3 linked regions of the Nothobranchius furzeri genome follow. The main gene of each other region encodes a partner of the protein of the gene in region 3 in a complex. Links are inferred from orthologs where the notes say so. Each region holds a gene or a part of one and is shown on either strand. Other genes may lie near its edges.

Region 1 (4,209 bases), on a different chromosome or scaffold from region 3:
GCTTGCATCAGTGATCTTATTCTGTTGGTCATACCCAAAGGAGCACGGACTCAATTTCAATAAGAAGCAAGTTATGTCCAATAGGGATGCACCGAAGCTCAGCCACAGAAGATTTTCAGCCAAAAACGAAACACGTAAATTGCTGAAACACAGTTGAAATAGGCTCATTTTCACTTTATTACATTCAAATATTCAAAGGCCAATCAGATATATAATTCAGATTTATATGGAATATCACATCTTATTGATCATTTCATAAATGTAGCTAATCCTTACCACTATAATCATAAAATAAAATCTCACAACACAGACTTGAGATTATTTTTGCTTTTTGAACCATTTAGCCTGTTGAGAGTTTAATGTTAGGTTGTCACCGACAGCAGCTACATTTAAGGGTATAGCAAAGGATCTATTTTTTTTCTTCTCATCCTAGAAGCTTCTAGCATAGAACCTTCTTTTTACTTACATTGTTTTATGCTAAGCTAAAGCGAAACTTACTGCTTCCAGATCAGGAGAATGACTGAGCTTGCTAGCTACAAAATCCTTTTTCTCACTTATCTAACTCTGAGAAACCCATCAACAGACAGCATGTTACTACTGAGTGGAATATGCCTTTAAATTTGATGTTTTGCACCATTTTTTAAAACATTATTTTTTTAATACAATGTGGTAGTGTGCTTTAGTTTTTTTTTTTTTGCTTGAAGATTCCACCTCGACCAGATGCTATTTTGCACCATTATTCTGGGTACTGTTTGATTTTCTTTATTTTAAACACTTAAAAAAAACTTCAATCAGTTTTATTTTCTATTGTTCTGAAAACGTTCGCACATTTTTTATGTTTTGAGTTAATATTTATTGAACTTCAAATATAAAACTAAGAGATTCATTGACTTATTTAATTTATAGTGCACACAGCTAGTGTCCAGTACAATCAACGTGCTGCTAAAACTGTGTGTGTGTGTGTGTGTGTGTGTGTGTGTGTGTGTGTGTGTGTGTGTGTGTGTGTGTGTGTGTGTGTGTGTGTGTGTGTGTGTGTGTGTGTGTGTGTAATCGGCTCTAGATATCGACCATTGGCAACAAAAATTTTTAAGAATTGGTATCGGCCTTCCTTAAGAAACCATGTTGGTCAGCCTCTAGTCTGCATCATAATCATCTTGGATTGCATTTCAGTGAAATGATCCACATTTAAAAAGATGAGAGCTGTGTCCTAACGTTCACAGGTTAAGGCTGTTATGAAAGCAGCACGAAAATTGTCAAATTCTGAAGATAAACAATGGTGACCAAAGTGGGTTCGCAGTGGGTTCAGGAAAATGGTTCCAAATTAGAATAAAACCCACGAGCTGATCTGAAGTCCTAAACCAAACCTGCTGCCGCGTGTCAGTATTCTTCCAGGGAAACCACTACGGGTGCAAACGGGACTAAGCATGTGACTGCATATAAAGGCAGCCAGCCCCGATAGTAAGAAAACAACACCAGAACTTTGTAGAAAACTTTTATCTACCTTGTGACTCCATTCTGATGCCGCGATTTTCAAAAGAAGGAAGTGACGACCGCTGACGATCCTACTCCTGCTCTTACTTCTCGCGGTTGTCGCACACACAGCTAGCCTGCCAGCAAACCGTACCTACAAACGCGATATGATCCGTTCGGTTGGAACGAACCTGTTTGTGGAAATTCTCTCATGTATATGAACTCTGATTGAACGAGTAAACACCGAATAACTTCCGGCGCTCGTGGATGACGTCACCAAAAGTGCGTTTCGTGAAAGATGTTCGCACTTCGCATCCTCTTCTCTTGCCGTGCTTTGAAGACGAGAGACTCCACAAGCATGAAAGCTGTGCATCTGTGTTCTAAATTTAAGCTAAAAGTTATGTTCACACATTAAAAACTTTTGTGGTTTATAAAGAATTTTAGTTTTCATCTGAATAAATAAAGGGATTAAAAGCGGGAACCACTCCAAAACAATCTCTCAACCTTTGCTTTTTTGGCTGATGTCAGCACAGTGCTGGGCAGAATGTGCTCAAGTGTAAATGTTTGGTAAAAAAATAATGCGTTTTCATTAAAATCCCGCTTCGTTAGCCTGGCATGCCAGATTAATTACATACAATTTGGAGTAGTTCACTAGTTTTGTAACTTCTTTGTCGAACACGCTCAACTACACGTCATATAATTACACCCTGAATTTTAAAGCTCATCAACACACCAGAAGTAGTTTGAAATGTGTCAGTGTGTTGTGAAAATAAAAGCCAGCAGCATCTTTCTGGTTCATACAAGCCCGTAGAGGACTAGAGGCTCTTGCTCATCACATAACTTAGCTCTGTTTCCTGACACTAGTCCAGCTCGGAGTCGTTTCAGTTTTACGAACCGCGTTTCTAGACTTTGCTTAATTTGCACATCTACCAGCTACTTGGCTGTTTGAGTTTTATTTTGAAAACCAATAACCGGATGCAATTTGCTGTGTTGTGCTTAGCTTGTTGCCGGCTAGAGCCGGACGCTGATACGGATCTCGGACGTGTAGGAGTTAAAACGCACGAAAGGTGACGGAACTACAGTTTTGTTCGATTGAATACAAATAAGATGAACTCTAGAGGATAATCAGTTTAGTTGTGTCAGCCGTATAAGCTGCAGAGCTAAATGATCCGCTAGCTTAGCACAAGTGGATACTTTTGTATGTGTTTAAGGACGTAAAACAAACAGTGTGAGGTGTTCTGGTGCAGATTCTCACTCATCCAGGTCATGGTGATCCAAGCGTTCAGATGAAGGCAGCTGGACTCCTCTGGTTTCTTGAAGACGTTTCTCTTGTCCTCCGAGGAGCTTTGTCAGTTCTGACTGGAATATGGGAGAGTCCAGTTTATAAGCTGTAGCTGTCTGTTGTTGTTTAACGAGCAGAAACTACTGTGGGTACTCCTCTCCATCCCCTGATGAGTCGTGGGCTTCTGTTGTATAATGTGAGCTAAGTAACATCTCTTTGGTCCTTCAGTCAGACCAGAACATATTTGTTTATTCAGCTCAGAAAGTCAACATGTAGTAGTTGATTTAATTAAAGATGTACAAATGAGTAATATCAAAGAAAAAGGATGCCCCTCCCTCTGGTGATAACACTTTTATCCTTGGGGGGAGTTTTCTCTTTCTATAGGAGGACCTTGTGTGACGTCTACATCCCAGTGCTTTAGTACCGGGGCCTTTTTTCCAGGGTATGATGACTACCGGTAGTTTAACCGGTCATTTATTAGTCAAAACCTCTGAGATTTCTGAAAACCCATCTCTGTCCGTGTCCAAGTAAATACCAGCCATCCACTGTATGATGCTGTTCAAGTTCCCACAATGACTAACGGCATGCAGCACCTGATCAACCAAGTCAGGTGTGGAAGAGATGGCATCCAAACAGAAATATAGATGAGGAGCAAACACAAGAAAGAAAAAGTCAAAACCAGAGGAGTGTGTTGTGGGCATAAACATCCCAGCTGCTGTTCATGAGACAGAAGAGAGAATAATTGTGTCTGGGTGTGGACTGGAGGTGGAATTTTACAGCAGCATCATTATTATTCACTCAATTCAATTGAAGTTTATTTATAAAGCGCCAAATCACGACGAGTTGTCTCAAGGACCTTCACATAATAAAATATTCTAATACAGGTCAGTTCATTAAGCCAATCAGTAAAATGTTTCCTAAATAAGGAACCCAGCAGGTTGCATCGAGTCACTGACTAGTGTCAGAGTCTTTACAGCAATCCGCATACATAAGCAAGCATGCAGCGACAGTGGAGAGGAAAACTCCCTTTTAACAGGAAGAAACCTCCAGAGGATCCTGGCTCAGTATAAGCAGCCATCCTCCACGACTCATATAAATGTCTGATATCGTCTTTGGCTCAAAGCCTTTCAATCCATGCTATAAATAGTATTAATATTATTGGTGGATATAAATAATATGAGAGAGAGAGAGAGAGAGAGAGAGAGAGAGAGAGAGAGAGAGAGAGAGAGAGAGAGAGAGAGAGAGAGAGAGAGAGAGAGAGAGAGAGAGAGAGAGAGAGAGAGAGAGAAAATGACACCCCTCCCCCATCCCAGCACACGCACCAGTCAGTGACTTGATGCAATTTGCTGGGTTCCTTATATAGGAAACATTATTTCTGATTGGCTTAATGAACTGACCTGAATTGGAATTTTTATTATGTGAAGTGCCTTGAGACGACTCTTGTCGTGATTTGGCGC
Region 2 (3,887 bases), on a different chromosome or scaffold from region 3:
GAACAATCAATCTCGATGCTTTGGGTGGGAAGCAGCGGATGACAATGAAGCTCTTATTTTTAGCAGATTCTGCAAATTAGGACAAACTGTAGTCCATTTTTATATTTGTGACATGGCTGTTTAATTTCCTGGGAATTTTTTACTGTAGAAATGGTGAATTGTATTTTTTAACATTGTATTAGAATGAAAATCTCAAAGTGTTTTGCAACATACCTGTGAGGTTGGCCAACATGTTCTACTACCTTATCTGGAGCTGTTAAGAAAACCAATGCTTCTGCTTGTCAGTGCGCCCCAGGGCAGCTGTGGCTACATCGTAGCTCATCACCATCAGTGTGTGAATGGATGAATGATACACTGTAGTGTAAAGTGCTTTGGAGTCCTTACTCTGAGAGGTGCTATACAAGTGCGGGTCATTTATCATTTCTTGCACCCGCCTCCTTGTGTTTTTACATCTAATCTAGGGCTCAGGTAGAATTAAGCAGCTTGTAGATCATTACTGAGACAAATTACAGTTAAAGCTCTAAAATGATTAAGTAATTTAGATTATTTCAACTCAAAAAGTCTGGTAGATCTTTCATGTTTCAGATTAGATGTGAGAATTAGAGTCATGACACACCACATCAGGCTGAATGAGATCCACTGCAATTGTTTTATTTAATCACACTACCCAGAACATTTAATATGATCAATTAACTTTATAAAGAACTATTGAGAAAATATTTATCTTAATAAAACCAAAACAGAAAGTGAAATGAGTAAATCCAAACAAAAGAGCATAATGTTTATGCAGAGTTAAACTCATCAACAGATCAGTCAAAGGTTAAACGAAAGCTCTTCTCCTGCTCCTTGCGTTGGGTGTCGCAGAGTTTAGACACTTCTTCCACTCTTCTCTGCAGGAGAACCGAGTTCTGGTCGATCCACTGCAGCGAATCCATGTGGGCGTTGAGAATTTTACAAATCTGCTGGAGCTAAAACAGAGAGAAAGAGATGAATGAAAAAGGCAAACATCATAATGACAGGTTTAAGGATGACTTAGATCTGATCTTACTGGGTCACTGGAGTCAGCTGGGCCGCTGGATGTGTTCAGGTGCTCAATTATCTCCTTCAGGTCCTGAGACATCCTCTTCAGCTGTGCGTCTACGTTCTCAGCGAGCTTGTATGTTCTCTCACGCTCCTCATCGGCATTCTGCATGTAGATGGTTCCGCTCTGCTCCTTCACGGACTCCTCCAGCGGACACAGCAGGTCCTCCAGCTCCTTCTGCTGGGACAGGATGAAGTCCAGCTCCTGGTTCAGCCTCCTCTGGTCCAGCTTCACCTTCTCCAGCTCCTTGTGCAGGGATGTGATCTTCTCTCCGTTCTCCACCAGCATGCGGTCCCAGGCATTCACCTGAGTCGCTTGCTGTAAGAAATGTCTTTCTTGGTCCTCCAGCTCAAGACTCCACTTGTTTATGAGGCTCTCCAGCTGGGCATAGGTCATCACAGGAGGAGCAGTGGTGGTGGTGGTGCCGATTGTTGTGGCTGTTGTGGTTGTGCTTGTGGTGGATGTAGTTTTGAGTCCCAGTATGAAGCCCGTAGCTGTGCCTGTGGTGGCGGCTGCAGTTAGGATGGAGGCCGGAGCAGAGGTGGTGGTTGCTGAACTCAGAGGTTTGAGTGGGAAGGATAAGCCCCCTCCAGCTGCTGTGGTGGTTGCAGTGCTCACCGATGAAAGTGGAGCCGAAATTGGAGCTGCACCAAACATGAATCCTGGAGCTGCTGCTGTAGTGGCGGCGGTGGTGGTTATGGGTGTCGCAAACAGAGTAGGGCCTGGAGTCGGAGCCACCTGGGTGGTTGCTGTAGGGGCTGGGGTTGATGAAGGTTTAATCCCAAAGTTAAAACCTCCACCCTGGGTGGTTGGAGCTGCAGAGGCGGTGGTTGCAGGGGTTCCAAAGCTGAATCCCGCTCCTGTGGCAGCAGTGGGGGCTGCAGCTGAGGTCACCTGGACTTTGGGAGCACCAAAACTGAACCCTCCAATGGACATGCCACTTGCTGCTGTCGTGGCTGTGGGTGCTACCACTGACTGAGGCTGGACTTGTGTGGGAGCACCGAAGGTGAATCCTCCCCCGCTTGGTGCCACTGTTGCTACTGCTGGTGCAGCAGCTGGGGGCTGCGAGGTTAGCAGGCTGCCTAAGGTGAACCCTGACCCGGCAGCCGGAGTTGCTGCAGAGCCCAGACTCAACCCTGTTGCTGCCGGTGTTGTCTGAGGGGTAGCAAGAGCAAACGAGGCAGTAGGCGTGCTAAAAGACAACCCCGTGCCGCCTGCGGAACTCTTGGCTGGGGTGCCAAAGCTGAAAGAGGCGGTGGGGTTGGTCTGGTTGGCATTTCCAAAGGCGAACCCCCCTCCCGGAGCTGCTGAGCTGGTTAATGTAAAACCCGCGTTGGGGGCAGCGGCAGTGGTCTTCTGCGCTCCAAAGGCGAACCCTGCATTCTGTCCGAAGTTGAATCCGCCACTCATTATCCTCACAAGAAGTTAAACACAGCCGTTACGTGTCGTTTAAAACGGCCACTTCCTTGCCGAATCTTGTGGCTTTTGGCGGGTCGCTATGACCAACTCCTCCGACTGAAGTTCCTAAAATCCCCACTGCGTCTATTTAAGTAACTTTGCACAGATACGCAGGAAATGAATGAAATCACACGCTAATCAACGTTACCTTCCGAGGAATATAGAGCCAAAATCAATAACACATTGCTAAAAACGTGGGCCTGTGAACCGACATTTCCTTTAACAGGCAATTATCTGGCCACCTAAAGGAAGTGACGACACCCGAGACGCGGCATTCTCGTATGCCCTGAATTTTGTCTGCAGGGACATAATTCCGCCTATTAATTTATTTGGCAACTGTTTTATCCAATCAGAGTTATGATTAGATTTGAGGTACATGATAGGCTCATTTGACTGCCTGATAGACAAACATTCGGAAAAATATATAGTTTGGCCTTTACAAAGAGTATGCAAAGGCAAGATAGTTACAGAATAACGAGCACTATCAACTCTTCTTCTTTCATACACACGTGAATAAAAGACATTATTTAGGACATTATCGTGCATTTATACGTCTTTATTTTCGCAATTTACCGTCAATATTGACAATAATTTTAAATACAGCCTTTCAACAGAACTTCGTGTCGGTATACGCCAGGCAACAACGATGAATCCTCTTGAACTTTGTAGTAACTCTTTGAATTAGCTTGTTGACTTTTCTGCTTCGGTGGATTTAGCAGCGATCACTTGAAGTACACACCGGACGATACACAAACATTGCAGCGCGGCCGTAGTTATGGATGCTGAACCTGCATCAATTAGCAACGTAACTGAACAATAATAAATTTAACAGCGTGTTTGCGAGCTGCTGGGTTTGCTCAACGAGCTAGTGTCGTTAAATAACACTAAGTGTGGCTCGGAAGCCACCTGCTTCCTCCGAATAACTAGTAAACCCGGTCAACATGAGGCTTCTGAGGTTTCTGAGGAACAGCGTGTCAGTAGGGAAGGATATCGATTATTACTCCAGATTTTCTCCTTCCCCTCTTTCAATGAAGCAGTTTCTGGATTTTGGTGAGATGTATTCATATAACACTCTAGGGATGTAAAAATAATTCAATGCACTGAAATATCACAACATTTCGGTTTATGATACAGAATCGATATTTAAAAGCAGAGTATCTATTATTGAGAATTTACATGCCAACATTTCTTGTATTTCTTTTGTGTGGTGCAGATCAAACACTGACAGCTAGGTGGCAGCAGTTTCTTCCTCCTTCAGTCTGACAGACCGATATCTTGCGAAAACACTGGAATTGTCTGAGTTTTCCCAGTTAAATTCACTTAAAAATTGCAAAAATAGTCAGCCTTT
Region 3 (4,227 bases):
TCTGTAAGACATTTTTCCAGGATGCTGTCTCATTTTCAGAATCTTGAATTTTTATCATTTTTGTTGTATATTTATATATTTATAGCGTATTTTTCTTATAAACTACATACCTGGAGAGAAAAAACATGGATATAGATCATCAGTAATTATTTAGAAATTGTAAATCCAGCTTTAGGAGTAACTAATGTCAAATTCAGGTAGATGGTTTAACAGAATGTATTTATTGAGTATTAGAACTATTTAAAAAGATTATTATGAAAAAGTTATTTTTCTAAGTCCAGTTTTTGGATCACAACAAAATTAGATGATTTTACAATATTACACTTTATGAATCAGCTCTTTGACAACTATGATGTAAAAAAGGAATATCAAAAAGTAACACGTGTTAAACAGTGGTTCACAAGAACTTGAGCTTTAATAAAAAGGATGATTTAGAACAATGCGTGCCAGAAAAGATCACAACGTTGTCGCAAGATGTCAGATAAAAAAGAGCTTTCCATTCTCTGGTGGTGTTTATGTTTTTAAAATAGCATCAATATGTGAAGGCATCAATAACTTACTATATACTAGTATAAATACAAGCTCATTCATTAATTTCTATACCTTTTATTGTTTTTAAAGGAGGACATGTTGAGTTTATATGGACATTTAAAAGAAAAACTTCTGTGGCACGTTCTTTCACTCTTGTTTCAAATAATGTCAGATTTTTCATTTCTAAATAATTTTGTGCCACTTGAATTATTTCACTGACAGAAACGTATGCAGCTCATGGAACAAGAACAAAATAAGTTTGTGTGAAGATTTTTGTTTTATCACAAAACGTCACACAGTTGTGCAGCTATGTCCATGTGCCCATAAACTGTGTTACATAATGAAGTAGCTCTGGGGCTTGTGCCCCAGATGACCAGATCATTGCACAGTTGAGTCTGGAAGCAGGAGTTCAGCACCCATCTGCTCTTTGTGATTCACGCTTCAGTGTTTTTGTTTAGAGCCGACAAAAAAACAAACAGAAAATATCATTCCATTGGCTGCATTGTATTAGGTCATTTAAAATATATATGTTTATTAAAAGTATCAATTAAGACAAGTGGCAGGGATAAATGAAAAATGAAAAGATTTGTTTCATTTATTTCACGTGTACGGTGTTAGGGTTGTGATGTGTCCCAAGTATTTTACTCTCGATGCTTCTAATCATTTTTAATATAAGTTCTATTTAAAGCAATGCAGGGATACAAATATACGTACAAAGAACAAATATGTACACTGTTAAATATGTTATGTTAGTCGGAAAACAAAAAATGACACACATGAAAATAATAGGTATCTTTTGCTTTTGACTAGGATTCCCCAAGTACCCTGAAGGAGGCATGTGACGACAGACGCATGCGCACCGTTATACAGTCTGAATTGACCAATCACCGACGACTTCAGAAATACCGGGGTATACTTTCTGCGGACTACGCTTGCCTGTGAACGAAACTATCTAAAAAGCACATTTATTCACTTACATGAGGCGAACAGGCTGAACTGTAATTTCATCCAACTTTAAAACAGGTATAATAATCGTCTCCATTCAACTGTAGAGAAATTTAACATCAATTTAAATGAAGTCGAAACATGTGCGAGCGTTAGCATCTTAGCCAGCTCGCTAACCGTTTAGCGTCGCCGGTTGATTGTAACTAGGCTATGTTGTAGCATGCTACCACGGTTTTGGAATGTCTGGTACGAGTTTTCACATTTCTTAAGCAGTTTCAATGTCTGAACTTATCTATCGAACGGTATTCTGTTGACGTCCGTAAAGATTGATCTCTCAACTCGTCAAGCACATCATGCGCGCGCTGCAACTGTTCAGCTGTAATCTTTCTCATGTTTACCTTTCAAGCCTTTTCCCCCATGACGCATTTTTACGTTGGTAGATAAATAGTACAGTTTGTTATAACTCCAGGCAGCATAAAGAATTATAGGTTAGACCATCCAATTTTTAAAAGTAGTGTTTTATATCTTCAGTTATGCTGTATCTCAATGTAAACACAGGGTAAACTTGTTTTTATTTAATTAATCAAAAAGCTGCAAGGCAAGGAGGAGCTTTTATCCATGCATCATAAAAGTTATAACGTGACTGTAGAAGTGCACACTTGTCTAAAGTGAACATTGACTTCTTTGGGCTCTGAGCTGACGCATCTAAGATGAATCATAAACTGTAAAACATAGAGTATGTTTTTGGGTTCAGTTGTTTTTTAACTAAGGAGTTTGAAATGATTGTGATTGTAGTTGTTTACTATTTGATTACGGAGCATCATGTTCCCTTCAAGACAGTTGCACTCTGTCATTACTGACAGAGATACTGGCAAGCTATCCTGTCATGTAATCTGTTGTCTTTAATTACCTCTAACACAAAGTCTGTACAGTGTCAAACATTGTAAAATCACAACGTATTTTTGTTTATATTCCACATACTATTTTAAAGTTAAGCAAATTATGAAAATATTATATATTTTTTAGTGGAATATTTTATTGCACAAACCCAGACCCGCAAAACACTTACCATAGAGAACTGTTCAGTGTTTTCATTTCAAGTAAATCACATTTATAAACTTCTCTACCTGTTAAGAGTCATGGATGCAGAAGGGTTTGGAGAGCTTTTGCAGCAGGCAGAACAATTGGCTGCAGAAACAGAAGCTGTGTCTGAACTGCCACATGTGGAAAGGAACCTTCAGGAGATCCAGCAGGCTGGGGAAAGGCTTCGATCCCGCACCTTAACTCGCACCTCTCAAGATGCTGCAGATGTGAAAGCGTAAGCAACCTTTTTGGTTATTAAACCCTTTTCTTCCCCAGGTTATTAATCTCAGGCATGATGTTCAATTGATAGATTACTTTGCCTGCCAGCCTAGCCTGCCATCTAGTGGTGTCAATGTAAAATTACTTCTCTGCCAGTTGAAACCTCTCCAATCTTTTGTTCTTGTAACAGGTCCATCCTCCTTGGTACCAGAGGTTTAGACGTCTTCCACATTTCACAGAGACTGGAAACTCTAAGTGCTGCCACCACCTTTGAGCCCCTGGAACCAGTCAAGGACACTGACATACAGGTATGAATGAAACGAGAAGCCTTGGGTCCTGACACCTGCTAGCAAGTCTCTAATGCTTCAGATGCCTTACTAGTGCAAGCCTCATGTAAGATGAATAAGATAAACTTTTAATGCTCTAATGGTTGCGTGTGCCAAGCCTTTTTAAACATCCCCAACAGGACTTAAGGCTGCCAAATGTTTTCTAACTGATTGCTTATATTATTCCCTTGACATCAGTGGAATATGATTCTGTGCTGTGACACAGTGAGGCTTTCAGGAAGGTTGATGTTATAGGGCTCATAACAAACACTGTAAAACTAGATAATTGTGATTAATTCAGTCTCTTATCAGAGATAAGTGAAAAGAAAAACACTTAAAATTCTGAGCTCAGTGTTGGAAATAATCCCCTTGGATTTTAGCTTGGCAAGCCATCATCTATCTATCTATCTATCTATCTATCTATCTATCTATCCATCTATTCATCTATCTATCTATCTATCTATCTATCTATCTATCTATCTATCTATCTATCTATCTATCTATCTATCTATCTATCTATCTATCTATCTATATCTATCTATCTATCTATCTATCTATCTATCTATCTATCTATCTATCTATCTATCTATCTATCTATCTATCTATCTATCTATCTATCTATCTATCTATCTATTATCTATCTATCTATCTATCTATCTATCTATCTATCTATCTATCTATCTATCTATCTATCTATCTCTATCTATCTATCTATCTATCTATCTATCTATCTATCTATCTATCTATCTATCTATCTATCTATCTATCTATCTATTATCTATCTATCTATCTATCTATCTATCTATCTATCTATCTATCTATCTATCTATCATCTATCATCTATCATCTATCATCTATCTATCTATCTATCTATCTATCTATCTATCTATCTATCTATCTATCTATCTATCTATCTATCTATCTATCTATCTATCTATCTATTATCCATCATCTATTATCTATCTATTATCCATCATCTATTATCTATCTATTATCCATCATCTATTATCTATCTATTATCTATCTATCTATCTATCTATCTATCTATCTATCTATCTATCTATCTGTCTATCTGTCTATCTGTCTGTCTGTCTGTCTGTCTGTCTGTCTGTCTGTCTGTCTG

Evidence for each region.
Region 1: the proteins of nup93 (region 3) and nup35 are in contact, whole or in part, in a crystal structure (PDB 7MW1), measured with the Homo sapiens proteins. The link is inferred for Nothobranchius furzeri from reciprocal best matches to the Homo sapiens genes NUP93 and NUP35. Residues at the interface, in NP_055484.3 of Homo sapiens: Tyr266, Tyr269, Asn402, Ala407, Asp408, Lys409, Thr410, Glu411, Tyr413, Tyr448, His452, Phe453, Val455, Asn456, Leu461; in NP_612142.2 of Homo sapiens: Ala88, Pro89, Pro90, Val91, Arg92, Ser93, Ile94, Tyr95.
Region 2: nup93 (region 3) and nup62l share a complex: the UniProt entries of both Homo sapiens proteins name them as parts of the p62 complex. The link is inferred for Nothobranchius furzeri from reciprocal best matches to the Homo sapiens genes NUP93 and NUP62.

The regions. Positions count from the first base shown.
Region 1 is NC_091754.1:38,657,316-38,661,524, forward strand, and holds the start of nup35 (nucleoporin NUP35), read right to left. Parts: upstream 2,860-4,209; 5' UTR 2,739-2,859; coding exon 2,726-2,738; intron 2,538-2,725; exon of another isoform or gene 2,435-2,537; intron 1,717-2,434; exon of another isoform or gene 1,515-1,716; coding exon of another isoform or gene 1,502-1,514; intron 1-1,501. UniProt on the Homo sapiens protein: Functions as a component of the nuclear pore complex (NPC).
Region 2 is NC_091754.1:20,876,520-20,880,406, forward strand, and holds nup62l (nucleoporin 62 like), read right to left. Parts: upstream 2,683-3,887; 5' UTR 2,492-2,682; coding exon 1,049-2,491; intron 969-1,048; coding exon 810-968; 3' UTR 631-809; downstream 1-630. Other genes in the region: pdk1 (pyruvate dehydrogenase (acetyl-transferring) kinase isozyme 1, mitochondrial), read left to right, coding at 3,481-3,589. UniProt on the Homo sapiens protein: Essential component of the nuclear pore complex. The N-terminal is probably involved in nucleocytoplasmic transport.
Region 3 is NC_091744.1:86,665,066-86,669,292, forward strand, and holds the start of nup93 (nuclear pore complex protein Nup93), read left to right. Parts: upstream 1-1,399; 5' UTR 1,400-1,554; intron 1,555-2,611; 5' UTR 2,612-2,615; coding exon 2,616-2,794; intron 2,795-2,968; coding exon 2,969-3,086; intron 3,087-4,227. UniProt on the Homo sapiens protein: Plays a role in the nuclear pore complex (NPC) assembly and/or maintenance. May anchor nucleoporins, but not NUP153 and TPR, to the NPC. During renal development, regulates podocyte migration and proliferation through SMAD4 signaling.